Stegostoma tigrinum: one gene and its partners. The protein of the gene in region 2 purifies or fractionates together with the protein of the main gene of each other region. This does not show direct contact. Links are inferred from orthologs where the notes say so. Each region holds a gene or a part of one and is shown on either strand. Other genes may lie near its edges.

Region 1 (7,592 bases), about 44 Mb from region 2:
CTATTTAGAGGCTTGAAGAAAACATTAAAACCAGCAAGTGGAACAAAGTGTTAGCAACACATATATAAATGTATAAACACAACAAAAATCCTTCTGAGAAGTATGAACAAACACATAACACAGTGTTGTCAGCACTGCCTACCTTTAAAGAGCAGAAAATGCAGGCAGCATGTGCATACAACCATACTAGTCTGAAAGTGCCCGATCTTATCTGATCTCGGAAGCTAAACAGACTCAGGCCTGGTTAGTACTTGGGTGGGAGACTGCCTGGGAATACCACGTGCCATAGGCTTTTGCAGCCACCAGAGGCTGCCTGCAGCCCTGCACTCTGACGCCCCCATTTATTAAGCTACAAAAGTCCTTTTAACTGCTCTCTCCTTCGTTGTCTTTCCTTTCACCATTTTTCTTTTGCTTTCAATTTTCCTCCTGCTGCACACAAGTAACAGGATAAGGCAGAGGGACAAAAAGCTGAAGACGAAAAAGTAAAAGAGGATAAAACTGACATGGCGTGAGACAACGAAACACAGTCAAAGCAAGACAAGGTACATAGAAAATCAGAATCACAGAATTCGAGCAGAAATGTCCCTGCACCGAATGTATTATCTATAACCAATCCCCTTTCCTTTCCCATACCCCAAACACACCATTACTATCCAAAAGTATCCAAAGCTCTCTTGAATGCTTCAATTGAACTTGCCTCCACATTTCCAGGTCATGCATTCAATATCCTGATTCATGCTGTGTGAAAAAGTATTCTCACATCGCGTTTGCTTGGTTTGCATATCACTTTAAAAGATCAAACAAATGGAGCTGTGGTCCAAGATGGTGACAGAGTATGACGCTTCAGCCAAAGCTTGTCTGCTCTGCCTGCTCTTTTCTTGCTCATTGTCTTTTTCCTCTTCTTCCCTCCTGCCCTCAATTGACTCCTGGCCTCAGCACAAACATGATGAGAGGTCCTCTCAGCCTGACATAGTGGCCTCCCGTGGCAGTGGTCCAGTGTGGCATGATGGTCTCTTGAGCTGGTCTGGCCTCAGCGTGGACTCCCAGTCTTGAGGTGATTCCAGAGCAATCTCCCAGGTGAAACCCCGTGCAGTCTGGAGCCAAGGCCTGGTGGCTAGGTGCCAGCATGGTCTGGGCTGGAAGACCCTTGTTCTGAACTTTTATTTCTGCAATGCTGGGCTTTTCATTTCTCTGTTTTCTAAGATCTTGTAACTAAAGAAGCTGCACTTAGGTACCTTTGTACCTAAGATGGTGCGTTAAGTGAGGACTTATAAACTTTTCACTGTCATCATTTCAGTACATGTGCAAAAGCTAATTCTAATGTAGTGACTATAGCTGAGACCTAGCTTAAACATGGACAGCAACTGGAATTAAAAGCTGCAATGTTTTAGGCAGGGATTAGGGAGGAAAGGGACTTTGGAAGGTGGCAAGTAATGGCATTATCCAATTATAGGTTTAGAGTTCTACATGGACAATGTACCAGATGGTCAAAAGATGGAATTGATTTGGTTCCTTCTATTTGTTTCTGATGTTCCCCCTTGATGTCCAACACTGAGAATATATCTCCCAGACTAAGGCAACTATACAAACGTAGGTAGAGCTTGTCTAGGTCTAGGTCTTCTCTTATCTGTTTCTTCACCTTAGCACCAGCATTTTCTATGTTTGACCTCTGATTCCAAGGTGATGAGACAACACACAACCTCCAGGCAACATCATCCAAATGCAATTACCAGGGCCAGCAGTGGAATCTTAGAGGGGAACTAAATCTAATAAAGAAATAAAGCTTGTGTCCAGAGTTTCTGTCATTAAGAGAAATAGAATCAGCAATAGTAGTTTCCAAATAAAAAGTGATGCAGAGCTTATAATCTAAAATCATTAAACTCAAGGGCAAACTTGTGTCTCCATTGCTTCCAGACATGATGAGAAAGCAGGCACCCAATTTGTGTTTAGTCAACCCATCAACTTCTGCAATGCATGGAGTGGCTAGGATCTGGAATGCAAAACCTGAGAGTTTGTTGGAGTCAGATTCAGTCAATGGCTTTGGGAGGGAATTGGATTATTATTGAAAAAGGAAGACAGTACAGGGCTATGGAGGAAAGGCTCTGAGCAAATTGCACATCCTGAGGTCTGACAAAGACACAATGGGCCGAATGGTCTCTTTCTATGCTGCAACAATCCTGCAATTCTTTGCAGAACATTTCCATGCAGTCCATAAGCACGATCTCAAGGTTCCACTTTGTTCCTTTCTGACCTCACTGTCCTCAGTTTGCTGCCATTTTCTAATGAAGTTCAATGTAAATTCAAAGAACAAAACCTCATCCTTTGATCCAACTCATTACAGCCTTCCTGACTTGGCGGGAGAGAGACTATATATCCTGTCGGTCTCAGTTGAATCTCTCTCTCAATCTTCAGTAGTCACCTGTGTCCAGACTATTGCAGCATATCTTTTTAGATGTTGTCTCTCCAAGTGATATCCAGTATCCTGTGAAGGTGGAAGACATCCAATCTAACAATTCCCTTCCACAATCCTGTATCCCTTTTGTCATTGAAATCAGGTATCAAATTGGGACTAGATGCCTTTGATTGGTTCCTTGATTCCAACAATTGATTTGTTTTTCAAAATCACCAGCTGTTTAGTTCCACAATCCTAACAGTTGATTGGCCCCTCAATCCCAGAAGCTGATCTCTCAATTCTAAGAGTTGATTGGTTCCTTAACACCTAAAGCTGATTCATCCCTTTACCCTAGCTGATTGCTAGGTTTTTGAACCAGTTGATTTGTTCCACCCATTTCAGCAGCTGACTGGTTCAAAAACCAGCAGTTGATTGGTTCCACCCATTTCAGCAGCTGATTGGTCCCTCGATCCCACTGGGGTTGCTGTGATCTTTGAACTTCACTGTCACTGGTCCCTCCACACCAGCAACTGATTGGTCTCTTGATCCCACCAGCTGAATGCTCCACCAATTCCAGTAACTAATTGTTCTCTGAATTCCAGAAGCTGATTGGTTTCTTCATCGCAGCAGCTGATTGGTCCCTTGATCTCAGTAGCTGATTGGTCTCTCAATCCTAGCGTTGATTGGTGTTTCCATCCCGTGAAGTTAATTGATCTTTCGATCCCAGCAGGTGATTGATCCCTTCATCCCAGTAACTGATTGTGTCTTCAGCTCAAGCAGCTGATTGGTTCCATCCATTTCCAGAGTTGATTGGTCCCTCAATCCCAGCAGCTGATTAAATTTGGTTTTAGACTTAGATGTTTTATTGTCAGATGAAAAGTGTACAATGTTGCCACATCTTAGGTACAATGGTAACACAGCGTGGAGCTGGAGGAACACAGCAGGCCAGGCAGCATTAAAGGAGCAGGAAAGCTGACATTTTAGGTTGGGACCCTTCTGTTGTGTTCCTCCAGCTCCACACTGTGTTATCTCTGATTCCAGCATCGGCAGTTCTTACTATCTCTCAGGTACAATGGTACCCAGGTAGAAAGTGGTAAAGGAGAGAAACAATGTTAAAAGTTAAACATTACAGTTTATCATGGTGTAAACAGAAAAATAGAGAAATAAAGTAATAGCTAATATTAAAGTCCTTAATATTAATTGGAAAAATAAAGAAATTAAAGTTAAAGTTGCAACATTTTCTTGTGTGCTTAGGCATGCTGTGGCCTCGAACTCCTTTGCTTAGTTCAGTCTCTGGGAGATGTCGGCTGTCTGGTTCTCACCACTGCTGTCACAGATGCGGGGAGACCTCAGTCACCTCTCGCTCTTTCCACATTTCCGTCGCTCCACGCTCCAGACCTGACAAAGCCACAATCCCTTCAGCACTGAAGCAGCCACCTCCAATTTCCTCCTGCTGCTTCCGGAACATGCTTAGGCAACATCCATCACCAAAAAAAGGAGAAAACGAAAGCAAAAAGGAATTTAAAAAGAAAAGCAGATGTATGTGGACAAACTCAGGAGCTTGAACGCAGCACTGCTACACCTCCGCTCAATTAGTCCCTCAATCTCAGAATCTCATTTAGTGCTCATTGCCAGTAGCTACCAGTCCCTTGATCTAAGAAGATGATTGGCCCCTGAATTGCAGCAGCTGATTTGGACTCTTGATTCCAGAAGCGGATGAGTATCTCAATCCTAGCAGCTGTTTTCTCCATCAACCCCAGCAACTAATTGTTCCCTCGATCACAGATGCTGTTTGGTCTCACTTTCCCATTAATGATTGTTCCCTAGATCCCAGCAGGTGATTGGTCCCTTCATCCCAGTAGATGATTGGTCTTGCGAGCCCAGAAACTGATCGGTCTCTCAATCCAAGCAGTTAATTGGTCCCTCACTCTTAAGAGTGGATTCATCCAAGGATCCCAATCGTTCTTTGGCTGCTCAATTTGAATATATGATTGCTCCCTCCATCCCAGCAGCTGATTGATTCCACCATCCCAGCAGCTGATTGGTTCCTCCATCCCAGCAGCTGATTGGTTCCTCCATCCCTGCAGCTGATTGGTTCTCCATCCCTGCAGCTGATTGGTTCCTCCATCCCTGCAGCTGATTGGTTCCTCCATTCCTGCAGCTGATAGGTTGTGGTTGGGGGTGGGAGGAACATGGTGTTGCTCTGATTTTTTCCGGTTCCGGGTCACGATCTTCACGCCGTTCCCTGCTGCCATGCTGAGGCTCTCGTTCCTGTCCCGGCTCGTGTCGGTCTCCTCCCGCCTGGGCCCTCAGGCCACCTTGACACCGCCGATCGCCTCCGTCCTGCGGACCGGGCCCCCTGGGATCCGCGGCCTCGCTCGCTCCATGTGGTTGCTTTCCAGCTCGGCCTCGGGCCGCAGGCCGCTCCGTTCCAGCCACCTTCTCAACGGCGTGTCCTGCGGCTGCGGGGCCCTGCACACGGAGGGTAAGGGAGGGGGTGGGTGCACAACCGGTCCCCGCCCCCCCCGCCCACCACCACCAAGCCCCCCCCCCCCCCCCCCCAGGTCCCCCGCCCACCACCACCAACCCCCCCCCTCCCCCCAGGTCCCCTGCCCACCACCACCAAACCCCCCCCCCCCAGGTTCCCCATCGTCCCGGTTCCCCGCCCCCCAGCTCCCCATCCCTGTTCTCAGCCCCTCGCCCACCTCTCCCTGGTTCCATGGTGGGGCTCTCTGCTCTGGTGTGCTGTGCACTGCTGTCCACAACTTGGCCAGACAATCCCACCCAGGCTGTGCTGCAAAGTGGGATTAGAATGGTTAGATGATTATTCTTAAACTCAATGGGTTTAAAGGGCCCTTTTCTATACTATTGACTTCTATAACTTAGGCTCTAAGTTGAAGGTCTCCTCTTCTTCAGGGCCAAGTCCTTGGCTGTGAAACCAGCGAGAGCTTTGGGTCGCTGTCTGTGTGAAACATGATGGGGTGTTCTTGTATCTGATCTCAACTGGCTGGATTTGCATTGTCCCTGTAGGTGACAAAGCATTCGCTCAATTTCTCACTGATGAAATCAAGGAGGAGAAGAAAATCCAGAAGAGTTCAACACTGCCGAAGGTGTCAGGAGGCTGGGAAATTGGGCTGAATGGGACTGAGGCGAAACTTGTAAGGAAAGTTGATGGTGAAAAGTAAGTGAGGTCACTCGGGTATCATTTGGGCAAGCAGCCAATTTGTATGTTTTTAGTTAAAATCATGTCAGTGGATTGTGGATAGGAAAAGAATTTGTTTTTTTTTAAACAAGTTCCATGGATTTGTTTTTAAAATCTCACCTGAACTTGATGGTATTTCTTTAACAATTCATCCTAAAGAAAGCACTTCCTGTTGTGCAGTAGATGATGGACAGGAGTACGTAACAAAGGCCACATGGCTGATAGTTTCTGTTAAAGTTTCTTTTTCATTCCCTCATGGGTGTCTCTGGCAGGGCCAGCATTTATCCTCTATCCCAGCGGACAGTTAAGATCAACCATGTTATCCTCAGTCACGTGTAGGCCAGACCAGGTAAGAACGACAGCTTCTTTTCTTTAGGAAGGAAATCTGTTTGCCACGGTCAGATTAATAGCTTAAAGCTAATATCTCCAGGCCTTCGCTTCCCCAAGCAAATAACATTGAGTCCAGTGTAACATTTTTGGATCTGGAGATGGTGCCGTTATCTGTTGGATTTCTCCAGCAGCTTGTATTTAAGATCTGAATCAGCAGTAATTGTTTTTATCAATATACAAACTCCTGGAGCAGGGCATTTAAATCCACAACGTCTCAGTCAAGTGAAAACTAAGCCAACAATCCAATACCTCAGCACCAGTTACTTCTGCCCCAAAAGAATTGAATGTAGAATGAGTATGTACTACACTCTGAAAAATGCATTTTAATTTTAGAAAATATGTTGAAATACATTTGGAAGTCCAGGATTTGAGTGAAGATTTGTGGCTGCAGTACTGGTTGTAGATGTTGGTGTGTTTGCCGAGCTGGGAGGTTTGGTAGCAGATATTTTGTCCTGTTTACTGGGTGACATCCTCAGTGTTGTGGAGCCTCCTGTGAAGCATGTGCCTGTGAACCTGCACAAGACAACAGCGCTTCTATAATGGGAGTCTGTTATAACTTGGACTCTAGAGTCTAATAAGTGAGATTGCATAATAGATGCATCATGTTAACGAGAAAATTTTTAGCAAGCAAAATGAGGATTAAATAGAGATTTAATTAATTTTGAACTCATAAGACCCCCCCCCCCAAACCATAATCAGTTTTGTATATTGAGCTGAGTTATCATAGAATTTCACTGTATATTTAGTCTAGAAAGCTTACAGTATCAAATTAAGATTATAATGTTCACCATTGCATGTAGATTCTGATAGTTCCTTAGCCTGTGCAGGACCAGTATTCAGCTTTAGTACATCATTGTCAAGTTCTTAAATGTCATGACAAATATATTACTAGTCCCAGTTTTAAATGAAGTTTGGCTGTGAGCAGTTTGAGATCAGAACGTGCTCCCTGTCATTCTCCGATTCTTTGCAGTTCAGAATTGCAGCTGGTGACACCTTTTTGACTACTTCTTTATCCATAGTGACCATTTACCTCTTTCTGTTTGTAGAGTTACAGTCTCCTTTAATATCAATAACAGCATTCCGCCAACAATGGAGGAGGAACCACAGGAAGGACAGAAGGGTTCAGAGAATGAGGTGAGTTGGATTGAACTTGCACAGTACTCTTGACTGTCACCTTAGTAAAGTTGAGAGGTAATTAAACAGGCATTAATTAAACAAACTCCACTGTGTATTGTTCATCCTGTGCCCTGGGTTGAGTGGAATTTTGTATAGATAGGAGTTGGAGGTCTGTCTATGTGAACAGAATGTACATGAGTATTTAAAAGCCCTTTAAAGCACCACTTTATTTCCTAGAATCCCAAAGCAGGCAATATTAGAACAGTGAACGCCATTGGTCTCGATAACTGACTGGGTGAAAAGTTTGAACCAGAATGGGTTGAACTTGAACTTTTGTAAAAACCTACCTGGGCATACGAGTTCTGTATTTGGACGTGTGGTCTCACTGGGTGGTACGGAGAGGTGGATCTGGGTACAGTCAAGGCATGTGGAAGGTAACTTGCTATAGGCCTTACCCTCTTGCCCTTGTCCAACCTAACGTTAGCGCTACAG
Region 2 (7,317 bases):
AGTAACGCCATTGAATGGCAAAGGGCGGTGGTTGGATTGTTTCTTATTGGAGATGGTCAGTGCCTGACATTTATGTGGTGGTGAATGTTATTTGCCACTTATCAGCTCAAGCCTGGATATTGTCCAGATCTCGCTGCATTTGAAATGGGCTGCTTCAGTGTCTGAACATTTTGCAATCATCAGTGGACATCCCCACTTCTGACCTTATAATGGAGAGAAGGTCACTGATGAAGCAGCTGGAGATGGTCCTGCAGAGATGTCCTGGAGCTGTGATGAGTGATGTCCACCAACCATGTCCATCTTCCTATGTGCCAGATATGACTCCAACCAGTGGAGAGCTTCACCTATGATATCCATTGATTCCAGTTTCACTAGGGCTCCTTGATGCCACACTCAGTTGAATGTAGTCTTGATGTCAAGGGCTGCCACTGTCACCTCACCCCTGGAATTCAGCTCTTTTGTCCATGTTTGAACAAATCTGTAATGACATCAGGTGCTGGGCGTCACTGAGCAGGTTATTGCTGAGCAGGTGCTGCTTGATAGCTCCGTTACTGACACCCTCCATCGCTTTACTGATGGTCGAGAGGAGACTGACGGGCGGTAATTTGCTGGGTTGGATTTGTCCTGCATTTAATGCACGGGACATACTTAGGCAATTTTCCACATTATCGGATAGATGCCAGTGTTGTAACTGTTTTGGAACAGCTTGGCTATGGGAGCGGCATGTTATGGACCATATGTTCAATATTATTGCTGGAATGTTGTTGGGGCTCGTAGCCTTTGCAGTATCCAGTGTTTCCAACCCTTTCTTGACATGTGGAGTGAATGGAGTGTGCAGTGGTCACACTTACCAGTACCATCACGGACTGATGTGTCTGTAGCTGGCAGATTGGTAAGGTGAGGGCATGTTTTTCCCTGTCATGACTGTCTTTTTCCTTCTAGGTGGTAAAGGTTGATGGTTTGGAAACTGTTGTTGGATGAGCTTTGGTACTAACTGCAGCACATGTTGTAGATAGTACATGGTACTGTCACTGTGTACTGGTGGCGGAGGGAGTGAATTGGTGAATTTGGTGGATGTGATGCCAACCAAGTGAGCTGCTTCGTCCTGGATATGTGAAGCTTCTTGAGTGCTGTTGGAACTGCATTCACCCAGGCAAATGGGAGGCATTCCTTCACACTCCTGACTTGTGCCTTGTAGATGTTGGACAGGATTTCGGGAGTCAGGTGAGTTACTCATCCAGAATTACCAGCTCAGTATTTTTATAACTGGGCCCGTTCAGTTTGTGGTCCGTGTCAATCCCAGGATTGAGTTCTGAGGAAGGGGCACCGGACCCGAAACGTTAACTGTTTTTTTGCCTTCACAGATGCTGCCAGGCCTGCTGAGCTTTTCCAGCAATCTTTGTTTTTGTTCTTAATTCCAAGAGGTCAATTTTACATTGTTAAAATAAGTAACCGTGGTATGAGAAAAAGAATTTTCATGCAGTGAGTATGAAGGTCTGGAATACATTGCCTGAGTGTGGTCAAGGAAGTTTAAATTGAGGCAGGCTGACTTTTGGAAAAGGAAAAATGTGCAGGGATACAGAGAGTATGTAGGATAATAACACTGTGTGCAGTGCTGACTTGGAGAGCTGGCGCAGCCAGGAAAGGCCAAACAGCCTCCTTTTACAATGTAAGTCATAGAGTCATACAGCACAGAAATAGACTCCTTGGTCCAACTCATCCTTGCTGATAAAGTTTCCCCTAAACTAGCCTCACTTGCCTGCATTTGACCCATATCTCTCTAAACGTTTCCTATTAACATACCAGCCCAAATGTCTCTCAAATGTTATAACTGTACCTGCATCTAATGAACCACCCTGTCTAAATTTAGAGACATCAGAACCTGGCTGAATGAAACTTAGGAAAGTACATCTTCTTTCAAGCCACAATTTCAAATGTTTTAGAAAGGTGTTTTCAGCCTAATTTGTAGAAATTTTCTTTTTTATTGTTTGACAATGTCCAGTTTATGCATTGCAGAAATAAACTTTAAAAATAATTTTAAGAGCTAATTATAAGTGCAAACAGGTAACTACTTTGAGCTGTAAAAATAGAGTTTTGTCTGGTTAGATTACTCTTGTGTTGTATGCATATGAGTTCTGAAAAGCCTAATTATTTCTGTAACAAAGTTGATCAGTCAGCCCTCAAGCCTTGTTCACCAGTCATTAGGTTACGAATTGTTTGTACTCCAATTCCAAATTGTGTGATTGTAGCCCCTTCCAAAAGCTTGTGATTTCAAATAACTTGTTAGACTGTAACCTGGTGTCATGTGACTTCTAACTTTGTCCACCCCAGTTCAACACCGGCACGTCCAAATCCTGTAATGATCTTAAAAATGTATCAATCAGGCTCAGGTTTGTAACACATTAAAAACAGAGAAATCAGAGTTAATGTTTTGTGTCGAGTGACCCTTCTGAGAGGAGTTCTGAGGAAGGGTCACTCTACCCAAAACATTAACTCTTGATTTCTCTCCCCAGATGCTGCCAGAACTGCTGAGCTTTTCCAGCAATCACTATTTTTGTTTCAGATTTACTGCATCTGCAGTTCTTCTGGTTTTTAAAAAGACGTCAAATTGGCTCAGCGTCCATAACTTTTTCTACTACTCTTTATGAAATGTTTTTCTGATTTTACTTATAAACTGCCTGCCTCCAATTTTAAGGTCACATCTCTTTGGGGCGACATGGTGGCTCAGTGGTTAGCACTGCAGCCTCACAGCATCAGGGACCTGGGTTCGATTCCAGCCTCAGGCGACTGTCTGTGTGGAGTTTGCACATTCTCCCCGTGTCTACGTCGGTTTCCTCCGGGTGCTCCGGTTTCCTCCCACAGTCCAAAGATGTGCAGGTGAGGTGGATTGGCCATGCTAAATTGCTTGTAGTGTTCAGGGGTGTGTGGGTTGTAGGGGAATGGGTCTGGGTGGGATGCTTTAAGGGGCAGTGTAGATTTGTTGGGTCGAAGGGCCTGTTACCACACCGTAGGGAATCTAATCTAATCTAATCTCCTTCTCTTGGGATCCCCTGACAGAGCAGAGAGTTTATCTGCATCACCCAATCATCAGAATTCTATGGTAGAAGGAGATTCATCAATGTTTGTTACATTGAATGTCAAGGGGCAATGATGAGATTTTCTCCTTAGAAATGGTCAGAAATCATACAACACCAGGTTGAGTTCTGAGGAAGGGTCACTGGAACTCAAACATTAACTCTAATTTTTATCTTCACAGATGCTGCCAGACATGCTGAGCTTTTCCAGCAACTTTGTTTTTGACACCAGGTTGTAATCCAACAGATTTATTTGAAGACACAAGCATTTAGAGTGTCAGCCCTTCTTCAGGTGTTGAACATGGTAGGTAATTGCCTGGCATTTGGATCACCTGAATGTTACTTGCCACTTGTCAGTCCAAATCTGGATACTGTCCAGATCTTGCTGCATTTGTGCAACACGGTTCAGCATTTAAGGAGGGTTAGGGTCAAGGAAATGCCAGCTTTCCTGCTCGGTTCATCCAGCTCTACACTTTGTTATTTCAGTATTTGAGGAGTTGTGAACATTGTGCAAATATTGGCCATCATCCCTACTTCTAACCTTATGATGGAGTCGAGGTCAGGGAACAAGCAGCTGAACATTATAGTGCCTAGAACACTGGGAATTCCTGTAGAGATGGCCTGACAGTTGGAGGTGACTGTCCTACTTGGTTTCAGAATGCCCTGTGTGCAACGATTCCTTTTTATTTTCCCTTAAAGCCGAAGACATTGATCAACAAATGAATTAATGGAGAATATTTTCCTTCGAGTGGAATGCATTGAGCAGCCTGCTTTTTTGCAAGTATGTATAATTTTGCATGCAATTTTTACATATACGTGTGCATGCTACTCTCCATACGCCCACACTACCCTTTCTCTTATAGCAGCTGGCGCTCTTTCCGCAGCGCGGCCAGACACAGCGGCCTTGCCCACACTTTTGCCGGCGCTCCGCTTGTGCCACCTCACCGGCGCGGAGCGCTCGCCCGAAGGCGCGGTGCCCGGCACTATGGGCTTTGTTGCCTTTTCTCACCGCCCTATGATTCCACCCGCGGGGAGGGGCGCGTATCCTTCCGCCGTCATCCGCGCAGGCGCACAACCCCACCCGACAGGCTGAAGCCCTTTGGAGTGGGGAAGACGGAAGGGAAGTAGTGCGGCCGCCGCTTCACTACCCGGCGGCGCGCAACGTGAGAGCGCGTGTGTGTGTGTGTGTGTGTGTGTGTGAGGGAGGGGGGTAAAGGAGGCGCTGGGATAGCGGAGCCCGGAACTATACCCTGTCTGTCCGCCATTTTGGCAGCTGCTCGGCGGCGGGTGCGAGCGGGCGAACAAGGTTCGTGTGTGAGCGGCTCGGCTGCTTCCTGAGGACGGCGGTCGCTCCCTCCGTGTCTGCCTCTCGACTTCGCCTCGCCTTCTCTGCCAGTCCTCCCCTCCCCGAACCACACTCCTCTGTCTGCGGGCTTTTAAAGCCTGGGAAGTGAAAAAAAAAAGAAGAATCGGCAAGTGAGATTAGCTCGCTGTTATTTCTTTTCCTGCCGAAGTTCTGCATCCTTCGATCGCCTACCGCCGCCACACCCCTCTTTCCCCCCCCCCCCCCCTGCCGCTGCCGCAACCGCAACCTAAACGGAAAGAAAGGAGCCCCTCTTAAATCAAAGCCGCCGGCGATTTCTTTTTTATTTTTTTTAAAAACGAGGTAATCCTCATCCTCCTCCTTCCCGTCCATCGAGCGCCTCAGCCACCCTCCCTTCCCCACCCCCTCCACCGGAGAACATGGAGGACCGCGAGGACCTCGTCTACCAAGCCAAGCTGGCCGAGCAGGCTGAGCGCTACGACGGTGAGAGATGTTCGTTGTTGTGAGGTGGTTGGGTGGGTTAGTTGTTTTGGGGTTTTGTGTTTGTGGTGCCGGGTTTTGAGCGGTGGGATTTGTCGTGTCTCTCTCTCTCTCTCTCTCCCCCCCCCCCCGGCTCTCCTCACCCTGTCTCTCCCGGCCGCCGGCTTCACAAAATGGCGCCCAGCGGCCGCTCGGTGCCCGCGCTCTCCCCTCTCTTCTCCCCCCCCCCCCCCCCGTTCCTTTTACCAACCCGATCCCGGATCTTTTAAACAAAACCCACCTTAACCCCCCCCCCCCCCACACTCCTCCTTCCCCTACTCCCCAGCCTGGGCAGGGCATTGACTCCAATCCGGCGGGAGGCACGGCAAGATCCCGGCCGTCTTTTATTCACTCTGACCCCTCCCTTCTCCATCATGGAGAGAGGTGCATCCGCTGTGAAAGTCGCCTTCTTCCCACCCTCCCTCTTTCAGATTCTTCTCTTCGCCCCCCCCCCGTTTTCCAGTATAATTTCCCTCGACGTTTACCCCCAGCCTCGGGTTCTGAAGGTTGAATCTTTCGTCGTTTTCCCCCTCCCTCCCCCGGAGCAAAGAAGAAGTACCGATTTGCAGAATGACATTGAATTGCTTCTTCAGTGCTTGGGCAAGAGGACTTGGGTTAATAGATGGCGGTGTATGTCTCCTCTTCACCGCCTTCCCACTGATTTAATTCAGAAAATGAATGCGGTGGAATTTGCGTCTGAAGGTTTAGCGCCCGGAGACTGGGCCAGACCACCATTTTAATTCATGTCTCTGTTTCACGTAAAAAAGAATTCCTGTTCGGAAATGTGAATTGGAATGTTTTAATCCTCATAGTTAATTCTTATACACAATGGGATTAAAGACGATTCTTGCCTCATTCTGCCTAGGCGGAAGTTGCAGGTCACCCTTAGCGCACACATGCTGAGAAATGAGGTGGGGTGGAGGCCAGGAATTCCTTCTCAAACCCAGCTTCTCATTGCAGAGGGTTTTTTTTGTTATTGCACATTTTGACTCAAACTTGTTTTCCCAGATTCTTATTGCAAGGTTTTGTAGACTATTTATTTTAGTAATTTCAACCTATTGACAAGTCTGGGTTCAGCAGTTGTAAACCTAGATGTGGGTTCATAAGCTGTTATGAAATTCCTTTTTGAAATTAAGCTAAATTTAAGCTATGATGAGTTAAGGATATTATTTTTGATGCTATTCATTGTCTCCCTCACACAACAACAGGAATTATTTTGCTTACCTGAAATAGTTACCTGTTAAAGTTCTGTGAATAATTGAGGAAAAAGTATGAATCTTGTTGACGTTTTAAAATCAGTTCCCTTAAGCTAACTGTGAAATTACTAATTAATATAAATTTGACTGTACCAACTGATTTGTCTGTAATATGGGCAACTTCTTTTGGAGGGAGGGGCTATTTGTTTGCAAGTACAATGTAGAAATATTTTAGATTGCTGTAATTTACTGCATTTTTGGTGTGACATGTTTTAAACAGTTGCAGTAACTGTGTGGTATATTGTAATTTCAAAATTATGGATGGGATCTTTTCTGACAAGTGCCATGGGACACTTTGTAAATTAATTTTGAGTGAAAATCTCTAGACAATAGTTGGATTTGACATCTTTAAACAGACTCGGTGGAGCTCGTTTTCAAATATTCATACTGATGGGATGTGGGGTTTCGTTTTTTCTCAATTTTTAGTCATGTCTGGTTTCACTAAAATAATTGCATGTATTTCTTAATTGTGCAGTGTTGGAAGAAATGCACTACATTCTTTGCCATTACTGACTTAGCCATACTGCATGGGTGGCACAGGCAGAGTCCACATACATCCATCAAACAGACACTGTTTCCCATAACTTGTGGTACAATGGCCAAGCAATGGAGTTGATTTAAGATTCTTCGAAGACCTTTTTCCATCAAAGGTGTTTCTAATTAGTAAAGTTCTTCCCATCCTGGTGTATTATGCTGACCAGACTAATAAGATTGTAATGCTTTAGACATGATTTCATTGAGTATTCAGGGCTGAAAGAAACCTATAAATTTGCTTAAACTTAGATCTTTTAACAGAATGAGCGGTAGTTTTTTTCCTAGCAGAAGTAATCTAACCTGAGGGCATTTTTGTTCTTTGTGCTGCCAAACTAAATCCAGGTCTTCCTTACACTGTCGGACAGTCTGCAGTTTCTAAAACTACAAATCTGTTTCCAGTAAATAGTTGTCACAGATGTAGGCTGAATAACCTGTGCGAGATGATGGGGAATAGGGAACTAGGACAATTGCATGGTAAACAAATTTCTGCTACAAATAAAACTGATATAAACAAGCCTTCTATGTCTTTTTTAATTTATAATAGCAATAAAGCTGTGCCAAGGACTTTGACAGTCTTTTGAAAATTTAAATTTTGGAAGATTCGGTAATT
Region 3 (7,698 bases), on a different chromosome or scaffold from region 2:
CACTGTGGGTCAGGAGTTCAGGATACTGTTGCAGAGGGTGGAGCAGAGACCAAGGTCTCAGGGTTGAGATTAATTTGGTTAGAATTATAGTGTTGAAGGAGAATTGTAGACAATAAGTAGAAGCCTGACATAGGTATCCTTGTTATCTAAATATTCCAAGGATGAATGCAGGGCCATGGAGATGCTGTGTACCATCTGTTGAGACTGTAGGTGAATCGCAATGGGTCAAGGCAGGCTGAGAGGCTGGAGCTGACATGAGCCATGACTAACCTCTTGAAGTGCTTTGTAATTATGGAGGTCAGAGCCACCACGTGGTAGTCATTTAGGCATGTTAAATGAGTCTTTTTTGGTGCTGGAATGATAGTGATCTTCTTGATACAAGTGGGGACTTCAGATTGTAGTAAGGAGAGATGAAAGATGTCAGTGAACACTCTAGGCAGCTGGACTGCACAGGATCTGAGTGCGTGGACTACTCCATCTGGGCCAGTCATTTTCTGTGGGTTCACTCTCCAAAAGGCCAATGTGAAATCTGCAGCATAACTGATGAAACAGGTGCAGCTGAGGCTGTTGGATTAGGTGACACCGTTTTGCTGAGGCTCTGTTTCAACTGAGCCTAAAATGTATTGAGCACATCAGGGAGAAATGTATTTTGTCCATTATTCTGTTATGTCACGTAGGCCTTACCAGAAACTACAGGTACCCATGTGGTTAGTTTTGCTCTCCAACATAGTCTAGTATTAGTTCTTGGCATCTCCAGTGGCCTTACAGAGGTCAAATCTGGATTTCCTGTGAAGATCAGGGCCGTCTGACTTGAACATTACATACTTGGTCTTTATTAGGCAATGGAGTTCCTGGTTCACCCATGGTTTCTGGTTGGGGAATATATGGATTAACTTCTTTGGCATACAGTCCTCTACACCCTTGCTAATGAAGTCCATGACAGTAGCAGCATACTCTCCTGGGGGCATGGCTGCTGAGTTCTTGAATATGGGCCAGGCCACCAATTCCAAGCAGTCCCACAGAAGCTCTTCCGTTGCATCGGACCAACACTGTGCTATTTTCTGTACTGGGTCCTTATGTTTCAACTTCTGCTTAAAAGCCAGGAGGTAGGACACAGTGTTGCGATCTGATTTTCCAAAGTGCAGACAGGGTATAGAGCAGTAAGCACTTTTGATGGCTGTGTCGCAATGGTCACGGATATTTGGCCCCCTGGTGGGGCAGAAAACAGGTTGATGGTATTTTGGTAGCACCTGCAATGTTGGCCTCATTAAAGTCACTGACTACGACTGAATTGGGCCTCGGGGTATTCCGTGGGTAACAAGGTGGGTAAATGGAGTTGAGGTGATTAGCAGAAAACATTGAGGAGTTGAACGGCTTACTACTGTTACTTTTTCACAGCACCAAATTTTAACAATAAAAAAATGCAATTCACCAAGGCTGGACAGCACTGAGCAGTCTAGCAATGCAGAACAGTGATAGAGGGCTAGTTGAAAAGGTACAGCCAGGAGGTGGCAGCTGAGTTAGTTCTCCACATGTGTATTTGGAGAAAAGATGGTGGGAGCAGGGCCAGGAGTTTTTGAAGATAGAAGGGCAGTAATAGAACTAAGGGCAGAGGAGATGCAATAACACCTGATGTGGTCCAGGTCTGCATTCACTGGATGTTAGAAGAATGACACTGGACTTGATTGAAACATAGGGGGCTTGACAGCATAGATGCTGTGAAGTTGTTGCTCCTTGTGGGAGAGCCTAGGACCAGAGGGCATAATCCCATGGTAAGGGAGTATCCATTTAAAACAAAGCCAAGGAGAAATTTCTTCTTTCAGATTTTTTTTTTAAAAAGCTAATTCACTGGTTTGCTATGATGAGGAGGTGCTGGTGTTGGACTGGATGGACAAAGTCAGAAGTCACATGACACCAGGTTATAGTCCAACATGTTTATTTGAAATTAAGTCTCTTCACCTGACAAAGGAACAATTCTTTGAAAACTTGGAGATTTCAAGTAAACCCGTTGGACTATAACCTAATATTCTGACTTCTGACTTTATTTGTACCATAGACAGCCGTAGCTTGTTACGTATGTTCAAGGCAAGAAATAGATCATAATTAGTAATTCATAATCAATACTTTTGGGGACAAGGCAAGCAAGTAGAACTGAAGACTATCAAATCAGCTACTTTTCCCACCAAATAATAAAGCATGATCGATGGATTGAAAGGCTAACCTTTGCGCCTACATCTTATGGTTTTAGTGGTCTAGGTTTGGATGAGAAAACCTGTTGTGTTATGCATGAAGGACCATAAAGCAGATGAACAATTTTTTTTGGTATACGTCTAATTTCCTTCTGAAAATTACAATTGAATCTTTTTATTCTGCCTTCATGTTTAACTATAAGTCATATGACATGGGACCAGAACTAGGCCATTCAGCTCATCAAGTCTGCTCTGCCATTCATGGTTGAGATGTAATCTGCTATAACCTGGAATGAACTGAGACGAGGAGGAATTTCTTCAGCCAAAGGGTGGCTAATCTGTGGAAGTTATTGCTGCAGCAGGTCAAGTTATACAGAGTATTTAAGACAAAGATAGATTGGTTCTTGATTGATGTGGAGATCAAAGGTTATGGGAGAAGACAGGAGAATGGTGTTGAGGAACATCTCAGTCATGACTGAATGGCAGATAAGAACTAGTGGGCTGAATGGCCGAATTCTGCTCCTCCATTTTATAGCTTATAATTAAACATGAAAGCAGAACAAATGCAGATTCAATTGTAACTTTCAGAAGAAAATTGGATGTATACCAAAAAAACTGTACAAGAACAGAATGAATTACACAAACATAGTAGACTGCATGATCCATGTCTGCACTGTATTTACCTTTCACCCTTAGGAAACAGGTATTAGTCCACATTGGGAGATGAACTAAGTTATGGAATACCAATGGTTTTACTCAGGTATCAGCATGAATACTGAGCTGCGGTTAAAGAAATTGTGGATATGTAAGCATTATAGTGAATGGGAAGCCAAGGGCGAGACAACTGGAATGGAGAAAATGTAGTTGTGAGCAACATAGGGTGCATGTTTCTTTTCCGCCCCAGGAGCAGATACGTAAATAATTGGAATTGAAAAAGCAAATAGAAGGAGTTGAGGCTGAGCAATGAGGGACAGGAGAGGCCATCAACAATGGCAAAATCAAAATGGGAGTTGTAAGTGAGAGTGGGATTGCATTCTGGACAGGACATTCCTGAGCTAGCAAAGTCGTGTGATGATCAGCTCGTTCCGGTATCACATTAATATAAACTGTTTTAAGTTCATACATTTTCAAAATGTATATCTTTATTTTCGTAACTCCATTACCACTGTAGATTCGCCCAATGGCTCAAATGAAATCAAGTCGACAAACGTTTCACTGCAAATGACAATCTGTTATCGTTGCATGGCGAATCTCAGGAGTACTGAACGTGATTCACAAATCAGTATAGAAAGATTTTCAGAAAAAAGGGTCCCAACCCGAAACGTCAGCTTTCCTGCTCCTCTGATGCTGCCTGGCCTGCTGTGTTCCTCCAACTCCACGCTTTTGTTATATCAGACTCCAGCAGCGGCAGTTCCTACAATCACGAGTCTTTGTTTTTTTTTAATATTCGTATTTTGTAGACAGAAAGGAGGGCAAAACAGTTGTTCCTCATAACTGCAGTGCTTTTAATTTAAGCACTCTTCAAAATCCACATGCCAGTATATTTCTCATCGGAGTCCATGGGGCGTTTGCCCCCCAAACAACATGTAATTTCAGCAGTTCCAGAAAATTCACCAAACTTTCATCTCTACACAGTTAACAATTTGATGCAATGTGAGTACACAGGAGCTGTTTTTTCGAAGGTACAACTTATCAACAAATACAGATGTTACAACAAGCCTTGGAGACCAACCTCGGCCTTGCTTATCCGTGCCTTTAACTGACAGCTGTCTCCTATAAACAAGCCTGCCCCTTCGATTCGGTCGTTCGCTTACCTCTTAAACCTTTCAGATACGTCTCTAAATCGTTCTCGATGTTCGACTCGCAGGAGGCCTTCATGTTGTCCGATCATACAGCGAAAGGTTAGAAGTACCTCTCGATTAAAAAAAACAACGTTGACAGCAAAACAGAAAGGTTGATAATTGGAAACGCTCCGCACGGCTTTGGTTAAACTCCAGCGCCGCTGAAAGGACGCTGCCCCTGAACCAATCAGCACCGAATTCAAATTAAACTTTGGGCTTCCTTTCACCATAGAGACATCAGGTTCAGCGAAGGAGGAGTCTCCGCAGCGAATGCTGGGGTTTGTATTTCTACTTGAGAGTCAATGCTGTCGGCAGGAACGGAGCATTGGACGGTCGACAGGATAGGTGCCGAAGGCCAAAGGAAATACAATTCCCAGAAACGCTTGCGGGAGAATCCGGGTACCTGCCTTTATTTCTTCCCGCCCTTCCTTTCATTCCAGAGATCTACACTTTCGATCCCACCCTGTGAAAGCCCCCGACAGCCGCGGTTGGCGCGGTGACGGCATGCTTGCGGTTGCGATTGGTCAAGAACTCCGTCAATCATGAGGGGGTGTTGGCTTCGCCGAGATGGAGCCTCAGGCTTTTGGACAGTGGCTATGGCATGTGGTGCTCTGCGCATGCTTCAAACAATCTCTTCCCCCCCCCACCCAGCGCCTACCCGTCTATTCTGCTCGAGCGGCCGCTATGTGGAATAACGTTATTGCTGAGCAACGGGCGGGTTGCTGATGTTTGTCTGAGCTTCGGCAGGGCAGTTGCCCTGCTAGGGTGAGTATGCTATACGGAAATGCTGAGGTGATAAAGGCTACCGGTTTATGCGCTCCCGCCTTGGAGGAGGGGAGGATCGATTTTAGTATTTTGAAGTTGAAATGGAATAACGGTTCAAGGGATTGTGTATAAAATGCTGCTGGGTGGGGGAGGGGCGTCTCGTAGAAGTGACCATCCCGCAATCGCCACCTGACAGGTCGCGGTCCGTGGACTTTTTCATGGGCTACTTCTTTCAAGCTATTATTTTGGATTGTCGACATTCCCACCGTTTTTCATTTGAAACGAGTGGCAGCTGAAAACGAGAAGGCGTTTGGAGGTTCAAATGGCTATCCATTTTCTTTTATTCATTTGGCTCCTCTTTCACCCTTTACTAATATCCCCTTTCCTCCTCCTCCCCTCCCAACTGTGCTCCTCGTTCCTTACTGTAAACTATTCATACTATCTTCCGAATTTAGTCTAAACGGCATGCCGAGATTTAATGTTCTTTTGCATTTCACTCCTCCCCTTAATTTAATGGATTTTAATCAAGATTTCTTTTAAGTGAAACGCTTTCTAATTAACATGTCAGTGGATCCGAATGAGTAGTACCCAACCGGTGAACGATCATGTCGATGCATTTTTTCATGTTTCTTTTTGTTACCTCGAACAAAGGAAGCTTTGGGGTACACCACGGAATTTCATCCGAAGGTCTGCATCTTTTTTTTTGTCGATCGTTCGAGATATTCAATACCCGTAGAAATTCCCTTGTTTTCGGTGAAGCCGACGCGTCTTAATGATTTAACCAATTCCGCTCTGATTGTTACACAAAATCCAGTAATGCAAAAGTAGCATAGCTGGATAGGGACTATTAGCAAATTTCTGGCACACTGCCAGTGTAGTGAGGGCATTGCAAATCTTGTGGAACAGACTAGCCATCACTTCTCGTTTTGAAACGTAATGATTAGATTGTATTACATTATTGGCCTTCCTGCATTAGAAGCCCAGTAAATTCATTTATAAAATTCTTCAGAAACGTTTCACAGGAAATGTTTCCTGTTCCTGTACATTCCCGCTAAGGGAATAGGGTCACATGAAACTGGCTGGAGTGTTTCCTTTTCGGCTTTCATTTCAGCAATGTGTTCCTTTCCTCTGTGCTTTATATCGACAGACTTTTCAAGTAGGTTGAGTCCCATTCGTTTCTGTAAGACGTGTATTTTAGTATTTTTGACAGTGAAACAATGCGTTATTTTGTGGCCCTTTCAAAGGACGGAGCAAGAAGGAAACCTTTATTTTACTAATCATAAAATGGAAGTTGCCGTGCTGGAACTTTTCAGTGTTGTTTTTTTTGTGATAAATCTTAACTTGGAACATTATTAGATTTCTTTCTGCAGCATAAGTAAGACAGACCATGGAAACTGAAAACTATATGGTCTCATCTGTATATGTATCAAAAAGCTGTACAGGACCACAAATAGCCTGAACTGTAATAGACTAATCAGTTGAGGACAATCAACTGAGTCTTAAGTAAAAATTTGTCCAGTTTGAATTTTGTGAATCTGGAAGTCTAGCAGAACTAGTAAATTCTAAATTAAAATACTTCATTCTGTTTTTATCTGTAACTTAAAGATGTTCCCAAATTAATCGTACCATTGATTGAAATGTGATTTTATCAGTTAGATACTTGCCTAGCCTCCTTTTGTAACCTATGGAATCCGCCTCCACCACTCTCTCCAAGTAGCACATTCCAAATTCTAATAACTGAATAAAGAAGTTTTTCCTTGCTTCAGTCCTAGCTCTCTTGCTGGCAATCTTGAAATTTTGACCCCTATTAACTGAACTTTTGCATTGTAGACTAAAGTTTATGATAATTATCAGAGATAATGGGAACTGCAGATGCTGGGGAATCCGAGATAACCGTGTGGAGCTGGATGAACACAGCCGGCCAAGCAGCTGCTTGGCCGGCTGTGTTCATTATTTGTGATAATTATCCTTCTTTCTAGCTCAATCTTTTTTTGCTTTTTGTACTTTTAATACTTTTAACAGATTCTTAGTTAAACTGAAAACTGTTTCTTCTATTCCCCTTTTTATAAGCATGATTTTCCAATATGTTTCAATTTTTAATTTGAAAATGAAAGAAAACAGGAAAGTGCTACACAGAATGGCTAGAATCAGTGGAAAGAATGAGAAACAAGACAATTTACTGTAACCTTTGCACCAGCAGTCCTTGGTTGACTGTCTTTCAGGAGTGACATTTAAACATTAGTGCATCTGCTTGTTCAGGTGGATATAAAAGATCCCATGACATCTTTTCAGAGAAGAGGAGTTATCCCTGATGCTTTCCAGCCAGTGTTTATCTGTTCGTAACCAAAACAACTTCTTCAGCCATTATCATGTTTGTGGGAGCTTGTATGTGAATTGGTTGATGGGTTTTCAACCTTTACAATATGACTGTACTTCAGAAATACTTGATTGACTCCGATAGTGGTATTATTGATTAAACTGTTAATCCAGAGGTCCAGATAATGTTCTGGGGACCTGGGTTCGAATCCAGCCATGGTGGAATTTGAATTCAATAAAAAGAATTATCTGGAATTAAGAGTCTAATGATGACCATGCATCCATTGTTGATTGTTGGAAAAACCCATTTGGTTCACTAACGTCCTACAGGGAAGGAAAATGCCATCCTTACCTAGTCTGGCCTGCATATGACTTCAGACCCATGGCAATGTGGTTCACTGTTAAACTGCCCTCTGGGAATTAGGGGTGCTGCCTAACCAGCAGCGCCCTTGTCCCATGAATGAATAAAGGGGAAAAAAATTGCAAGATGTTTTTTGACTGGGTTCGAGTTGTTTAGGTTTAAGAGGGACGGAAGTTTGGATAAACTGAAACTTACAAAGAGCACAGGATTGGACATCCATAGGGAG
Region 4 (7,392 bases), on a different chromosome or scaffold from region 2:
GGCACAATCCATGGCCACCATCCACACAGCACTTGTTCACAGACATTGGCATCTGAAATGCCCATCTCTAAGTGCACATCATTGCATTGGTAACTACCATTGTAATGCTACAGCAAGGACACTGCGCTTTGAGATATGCACCCTGCTCATTGGACTGGACCAGGCTGCATCTCCAGCCTTTTTGCTGAATATAAGACCATAAGACACAGGAGCTGAAATTAGGTTATTCAGCCAATCAATTCTGCTCCACCATTCAATCAAGGCACACAGGTTCTTGATTTTTCAAGGGTAACAGGAGAATGGGGTTGAGAAACCTATCTATCTCTGTCTTAAATATACTCAATGAACTGGCCTCCACAGCCTTCTGTGGCAGTGAATTCACAGATTCATTACTCTCTGGCTGATGTAGTTTCTCCTTACTTCCATTCTAAAAGGTCTTCCCTTTATTCTAAGGCTGTGCCCTCAGGTCCTAGCCTCTCCTACCAATGGAAATGTTTTCCCAACATCCACTGTGTCCAGGCCAGTATTCTGTAAGTTTCGATTATATCCTGTCTCATCCGTCTTAACTCCATGGAGTATAGACCCATATTCCTCAAATGTTCCTTATATGTTAAGCTTTTCATTCCTGGGACCATTCTTGTGAACCTCCTCTGAACCCGCTCCAGGGCCAGTACATCCTTGCTGAGATATGGGGCCAAAAACTGTGCACAATACTCCAAATGTGGCCTGACCAGATCCCTATAGGGCTTCATCTCTGCTTTTATATTCAGGTCCTCTCAAAATAAATGTCAAAGTTGCATTTGCCTTCCTAATTACTGACTCAACCTGCAAGTCTACCTTGGAAGGATCCTGGACTGGAACTCTCAAGTCTGTTTGCACTTCAGACTTCTAAATTTTTGTTCCCATTTAGAAAGTAGTCCATGCTTTTATTCTTTTTACCAAAGTGCATGACCTCACACTTTCCCATGTTGTACTCCATCTGCCACTTCTTTGCACACTCGCCTAACCTGTCCAAGTCCTTCTGCAGCCTCAGTTCCTTCATCGAGATCATTAATGTACAAAGTGAAAAGTTGTGGCGCCAACACTGACCCTTCCAGAACACCACTTGTCACTGGCTGCCACCTGAGAAGGACCCTTTTATCCTCACTCTACGCTTTCTGCCAGACAGCCAATCTTCCATCCATCCTTGCACCTTGTCTTTAACACCGCGGACCCTTATCTTACACAGCATCCTCCTCTGTGGCACCTCGTCAAGGCCTTCTTGAAGTCCAGGTAGATAACATCCATTGGCTCTCCTTGGTCTAACCTGCTCATTACTTTCTTAAGGAGTTCTAACAGATTTGTCAGGCATGACCTCCCCTTGCTGAAGCCATGCTGACTTTTCCCTATTTTATCGTGCACTTCCAAGTATTCAGAAATCTCATCTTTCACAATAGACTCTAAAATCTTACCTACCACCGAGGTTAGGCTAACCAGCCTGTAATTTTCAATCTTTTGCCTTACTCCCTTTTTAAACAGGGGTGTCAAGTTAGCAATTTTCCAGTTCTCTGTTCTCTGACTTCAGTGATTCTTAAAAGATCACCACTAATGTCTCCAGTATCCCTTCAGCTATCTCCTTAAGAATTCTGGGGTGTAGTCCATCTGACCCTGGTAATGTGTCCACCTTCAGGCCATTCAATTTTTCTAGCACCTTTTCCTTGGTGATGGCCAACATACTCGGTTCTGCCTCTGACTCTCTCGAATTTTTTGAGATATTACTCGTGTGTTCCTCTGTGAAGTTTGGAGCAAAGTAATGTCATAGTGCTCAGTTACTCTGAGCCTATTTGGATGCTTATAGCATCTTTACCTTGCATGGCTTTGTTATGTCACTCTGTATGTTGCATCCACCACTAGAGATATGAGATTTATTGTTTCTATTTTGCCTTGCTGTTTAGCACTGACACAAATGGAGGAAGCTTAACATTGGTGTCAGGTGGCCTCAGTCAAACTTTTGCTCAAAGGGTCCTGGCACAGTAAGCCAAGAGAGCCTCCGATAGCTGTTCTTCTTATGACAGTGCATTGTACATTCTTCCAGATGGCTGAAACAGTTTTAACCTTTGATTTGTTTATTATGATTTTGATTTTACTGTCACGTGTACTGAAATACAGTGAAAAGCTTTGTTTTTGAGCAGTACAGGCAGATCATGGCAAGCTAAGGACGTATAGATTAAAACCTTGGACCAAAGTGGCATATTCTGGCATTGCAGCCTCCATTCTTAGTCCTGGAAGAATAGGAAGTCACACCTCTGCACCACCTAATCCAGCAGGTCTATCCTAACCTCCAGGTCCCTGCTGCAAGGCCGGGCATCGATATCCTCTGGTCTGCCATGTCCAGGCCAAATGTCAGGAGCTGGGCAGCTTTTTTGGGTGCACTATGAGCTTTGACAGATTGTGTGGCCGTAGGGGTTGCTGCTGAGGTCCGGGGTACCCACTGTGTGGTGATTTGTTTTGGTAATCGCGTGTGGTAAGACGGGGCTGAAATCGAACATGACTTTCCACTAGATTGTGTTTGTCACAAAAGACAATCATCACAAGTTCACTTTGGTTCATGCCCTGTACATTTGTAAATCATCTGCCACATTTTGATGTTACCTGTCATCCTACCTTGGTTCTCCTAGTGCACCCATCTATAGCCAGCATTTGTTTTTACTTCTGAATTACATGCTGTTTAATTAGTGACATCTCTGAAGGATCTAATATTTATCCACCCTATCGCAAATTCTGATATCAGTTTTTTTTAAAAAATCCGTTCATATGATGTGGGTATTGTTGACTATCCCTCATTGTCCTTGAATAGCTTATAAGACTATGTCAGAGGGCGGTTAAGAGTTAAATATATTACTGTGGTTTTAGAGTCCAATCGAGATTTGACCAGGTAAGCATAGCAAATTCCCTTCTCTACATGAATTAGATTGTTTTAAAAACCTATTTGTTTTGGTTAATGAAGTCATACAGCACGGAAACAAATCCTTTGGTTTAACCAGTCTACGCCAACGATAGCCCCAAACTAAACTAGTCCCACCTGCCTATGCTTGGCCTATATCCCCCCAAACATTTCTTATTATGTGCTTATCCCAATGTTTAAAAGGCATTGTAATTCCTCCCGTGTCCACTACATTCTCTGGAAGTTCATTCTACACATGAATCACTGTTTGTGTAAAAAAAGTTGCCCTTCATGTATTTTTTAAAATCTTTCTCCTTTCACCTTAAAATCATGCTCCCTTGTCTTGAAATCTCCCACCCTGGGGAAAATACACCTGCCATTCACCTTATCTATACTCTTCATGATTTTATAAACTTCTAATTTCACTCCTTAACCTCCTATGCTCTAGTAAGGCTAGCTTTTTAATTCCAGGCTTCTTTTGAATTTAAATTCACCATCTGTCAAGGTGAGGCTTAAAACTGTTTCCCCAGCGCATTATCCCATGGTTCTGGATTACTAGTTCATTGAAAATCTCATGACACCATCACTTCCCCTGCAAAGAATTTGTTGTTATAGGAGGTAAAATGTTGAGTATAAAATACTGCAGGAAAGCATTTATAAAACCAAACGTCTTGACTGCACAGGAAAATTCAGAATCAAAACAAGTTCAAAGGTTATGGTCATGGTTCTGACGATGAAAAATGAATGCTATCTAAATTCATCATGAACCCACCTGATTCAGGTTTCAATGGAAGGCAGTGTGTTTTGGTCAGTGTATAATGTATCACCAGTTACATCTGCAAAGTCCAGAGCGCAGTAATGGGTTTAATTCCACGTTTACGCAGAAGAACGGACGTTGTGTTTAGTCATGTGGACAGAGCTGATGGTTGCTCTAATTTCAATAGAACAGTCCAAAGCTAGCACTTCTTGTGCTGGCCCTTGAAAGTTTTTACCGTTCGGCTATCCCTGCCCCTTTTAAGACCTTTCTAACAATGGGCTTCTTTGGCCACCTTTCCTAAAGCCAGCACCGCCCATTTCTGACAAGTTATGTCGTTGTGCAGCATCTTGGTTTATGTTACAAGCACCTTAAAGGTGCAATGCCTTGTTGCTGGTTCTATCATGAACCAATGCCGACAAAACTCTCAACCTGCCTCTTCGTGCGATGTTTATGCAGCCACTTCATCCCTCCCATACCCAGCAGAAAGATGTTTCAGTTGGGGATCCCCGTCAAGATCTTTCATAAATTTGATCAACTCTTTTAGTCTCTCCTAATCGGTCGGAAATGGGCACAGAATTTGGCATGCGGCTTAAAGCAATGTGGAAATTCCGCCAGCGCGGCACCTTCCCGTGCTCTGACTCCGAATAAAACGCTATAACTAAAAGCCTTGGTCCGACCGTGCAGTGTAAATCCGCAGACATCGCGCCAGGCATTTGCCCGAATGCAAAGGAAACAGCAAGTGCGTTTGCAATTTCTGAAGGAGTGATTGTGGTGGAGCTTCAGTAGCTTTGTACTTTGGGGGCTTGGTACATTTGGAAGGTGCACTGCAATGATGTGGGCGGATGTGAGTTGCAGACGGGGTTGGATCCGGCGTGCAGTGACTCTGCAGCCAGAGGCAGAGCGAGCTGCTGCTGGCAGGGGCCGAGCATGGAGTCGGACCGGCGGCTGGCCAGGAGCAGCTTCGGCCATGGGGCCAAAGGGCAGCGCTTCAGCCTGCAGCTGGTGGGCTCGCTGCCGGTTCACCAGCTCACCACCATGCCCATGCTACCCTGGGTGGTGGCGGAGGTACGGAGACGGAGTGCCCGGGGTGCAGGGAGCCGGAGGGTCCGCTTGCAGGTCTGCCAGGGCTGGCTGCGGTGTGTGGCAGCGAGTGGGGGCAGCCCGGTGTTCCAGCAGCAAGCCCAGCACATCTACAAGCTGCTGCACTACAGCAGCGAACCCAACTACTTCGCCTATCTGACCAGGAGCCAGGCTGGCCCGGAGCCCCAGCACAGTCTCTGCTTCGTATTCCGAGCTTCTGATCACACGCTGGTAAGACCCTTCCTGCCAATATCGGCCTGCTATCCACAGGAACAATACGGAAAGTTCAAGTGCAACAGAATGTATAACTTTTACTGGAAACACTGAGTGATCATTAGTGTAAATATCGTTGATAGTGGGGTAAACTTCCTGTTAGAGACACAGCGGTGTGCAATGTTTGGGCTGGTTTACTGAAGACGATTTCATAACGTGATGGTTTCCATCATCAGTTCCTCTTTAATACAGAGACCATTGTTTGCAATATATGTGCGTGCGTGTGTGTGTCAGAGATACTTCATTAATGGAACCTGAAGGAAACTCTATTTCCAAAGATAAAAGGGGCGAGTACAACATAATTGTATCCCTGCTCTTCCTTTAGTGGCACTTCGGCTGACGGCTAAGATATTTTAAGTCAAGCCATGCGATTACACAACTCTGGAGCAAGTGGGACTTGAACCCAGATCTCCTAGCTCAGAGGTAGGGTCACTACTGTGGTGTAACGAGAGCCCCACAATTGATGTTTCGCAATACACCACCTGCATTCTACACTCAGGTATTTTGAAATAGCATGATACATCTCCAGAATGTATGGGACGTGAATCCAGGCCTTCTGCCTCAAAGGTAGAAGCACTGCCACCACAGCACACCAGCCAAACTAAAGTGCGCTACAAAGTACAGCTGTATCCCCAAACTGCTTTTTTTGTTTTGCTGAAGAGACAGTTTCCACTTTCTATTATTGCTACTTAAAATAGTGCGAAGTGAGTGAAATCTCTCATCATTTAAAAATACTGATTGGGAGGTCTGATGAGATTCACTTCAGAGACCAGCTTTTGCCATGAGCATTTGTCCCCTGTAGCCCCTACCCCCAAAGGACTTTAATGTGCCGGGTACAAGTTACCATGTTTAAGGTTTTCTTTTATGTCAAGTCTTTTCTGAATATGACTTTTTTTAAAATTTAATCTTACCCAGAATTACACACTGTTCTTACACACAACTGAGCGATCTTCCCACCACAGAAGTCACTGTGACCTCTTTCAAACTAATACCACCAGTAAAATACTTCTATAGCCTATTGAATATTTACAAGCAAAGCCCATTAAGGGCATTGCAGACCATCAAAGGTGAGCGGGTTGGGGGTGTGGATGTTGGGGGAACAGTGAGAGCTCCATCCCTGGGTGGTCTCAAACTGCCAACTGTTTGGTAAATACCTGGTACATGTCCCCTACACACCATAGAGACTGACGTTCATGTGGCACAGGTGCAGCTCTAGCATTGTTAGGAAGAGAGTTCCAGGATTTTGATCCAGCAACGGTGAAGAAATGGTGATGTAGTTCCAAGCCAGGATGATGTGTGTGGCATAGAGGGAAACTGGTAGGTGATGATATCGCCATGTACCTGCTGCCTTGGCTTTGTGGGTGGTGGTGGCAGCAGATTTGGAAGGTGTTATTATAGATACCTTTGTGAGTTCTTGCAGTACATCTTGCAGATGGTAAACCTGCTGCCACTGCGTGTCGGTGGCTGAGGAAGTGAGTGAAAAAGAGTGGGGTGGAAATCAAGCGTGCTGCTTTTAGCTTCGGTGTTGCTGAGCTTGAGTGTTGTTGGAGCTGCACTTAACCAGGCAAGTGAGAAATACTCCATCATGCTCCCGACTTGTGCCTTATAGATGATGAACTGGCTTTGGGAAGTCAGGAGAGGATTTACTGATTGCAGAATTCCCAGCCTCTGATGTACTCCTATAAAGTTGTATGCGTATCTGTATAGTTACTGTGGTTGATGCAGTTCCATTTCAGCACAGCAGTATCCCCCAGGATATTCCTGACGAATTCAAACACAAGTGAATGATCTCAGCTGTTTGCGTTGGGAGAGTGTACTTATGGTTTATTATGAGGCAAGAGAGAATTAATCCTGGCAGCAATCTTTTATGTGAGATTTTGTTAGTTAGTTTGCCTTGTGTTTGTTGGTATTACTAGCTAACCTCCTATGATGTTGCTTGAGGCCTGAAGCATATTTGTAATTGCAAGATAAAGAAGTAAAACTTTGCTGATTTTGGTTTGTCTATTCAGAAAGAGACTAGATTCCTTGTGCTGTGTCATCTAATTGTTAAATAATGCTAGGGTTTCACTTCAACTATTGTGTCTGGGAGCCCCAATCATAGTTGATGACTTTTGCATAAAACAGGACTTCCTGAAAGCATTTTAAATTTTGCCTTCCAATTTGTACAGTTTTGTACCAAATTTACAACTTATTTTGATATAACCTTCGAAACCAGAATTTCTAATTATTTTGCTGTGTTGTACATCTCTCTAAGGTCATCTCTCAGGTACCACTTTTTAAACAGAAAAGCCTAAATTCCCCCTGGCATTCTACATACCCAATCCATTAACACTAGGGTTCGGACTGTGACTCATTCCTG

What was found.
Region 1: the proteins of ywhae1 (region 2) and c1qbp purify together in Homo sapiens (affinity purification with mass spectrometry; 4 studies listed by BioGRID and IntAct, with this or other methods). This does not show direct contact. The link is inferred for Stegostoma tigrinum from reciprocal best matches to the Homo sapiens genes YWHAE and C1QBP.
Region 3: the proteins of ywhae1 (region 2) and cep170aa purify together in Homo sapiens (affinity purification with mass spectrometry; 3 studies listed by BioGRID and IntAct, with this or other methods). This does not show direct contact. The link is inferred for Stegostoma tigrinum from reciprocal best matches to the Homo sapiens genes YWHAE and CEP170.
Region 4: the proteins of ywhae1 (region 2) and tbc1d1 purify together in Homo sapiens (affinity purification with mass spectrometry; 4 studies listed by BioGRID and IntAct, with this or other methods). This does not show direct contact. The link is inferred for Stegostoma tigrinum from reciprocal best matches to the Homo sapiens genes YWHAE and TBC1D1.

What each region holds. Positions count from the first base shown.
Region 1 is NC_081380.1:3,374,931-3,382,522, reverse strand, and holds the start of c1qbp (complement component 1 Q subcomponent-binding protein, mitochondrial), read left to right. Parts: upstream 1-4,586; 5' UTR 4,587-4,645; coding exon 4,646-4,877; intron 4,878-5,422; coding exon 5,423-5,573; intron 5,574-7,030; coding exon 7,031-7,118; intron 7,119-7,592.
Region 2 is NC_081380.1:46,892,390-46,899,706, reverse strand, and holds the start of ywhae1 (tyrosine 3-monooxygenase/tryptophan 5-monooxygenase activation protein, epsilon polypeptide 1), read left to right. Parts: upstream 1-4,312; 5' UTR 4,313-4,817; coding exon 4,818-4,881; intron 4,882-7,317. UniProt on the Homo sapiens protein: Adapter protein implicated in the regulation of a large spectrum of both general and specialized signaling pathways. Binds to a large number of partners, usually by recognition of a phosphoserine or phosphothreonine motif.
Region 3 is NC_081362.1:83,728,933-83,736,630, reverse strand, and holds the start of cep170aa (centrosomal protein of 170 kDa), read left to right. Parts: upstream 1-4,678; 5' UTR 4,679-4,795; intron 4,796-5,092; exon of another isoform or gene 5,093-5,111; intron 5,112-7,698. Other genes in the region: sdccag8 (serologically defined colon cancer antigen 8 homolog), read right to left, coding at 4,004-4,067.
Region 4 is NC_081354.1:97,047,502-97,054,893, forward strand, and holds the start of tbc1d1 (TBC1 domain family member 1), read left to right. Parts: upstream 1-4,375; 5' UTR 4,376-4,607; coding exon 4,608-4,991; intron 4,992-7,392. UniProt on the Homo sapiens protein: May act as a GTPase-activating protein for Rab family protein(s). May play a role in the cell cycle and differentiation of various tissues.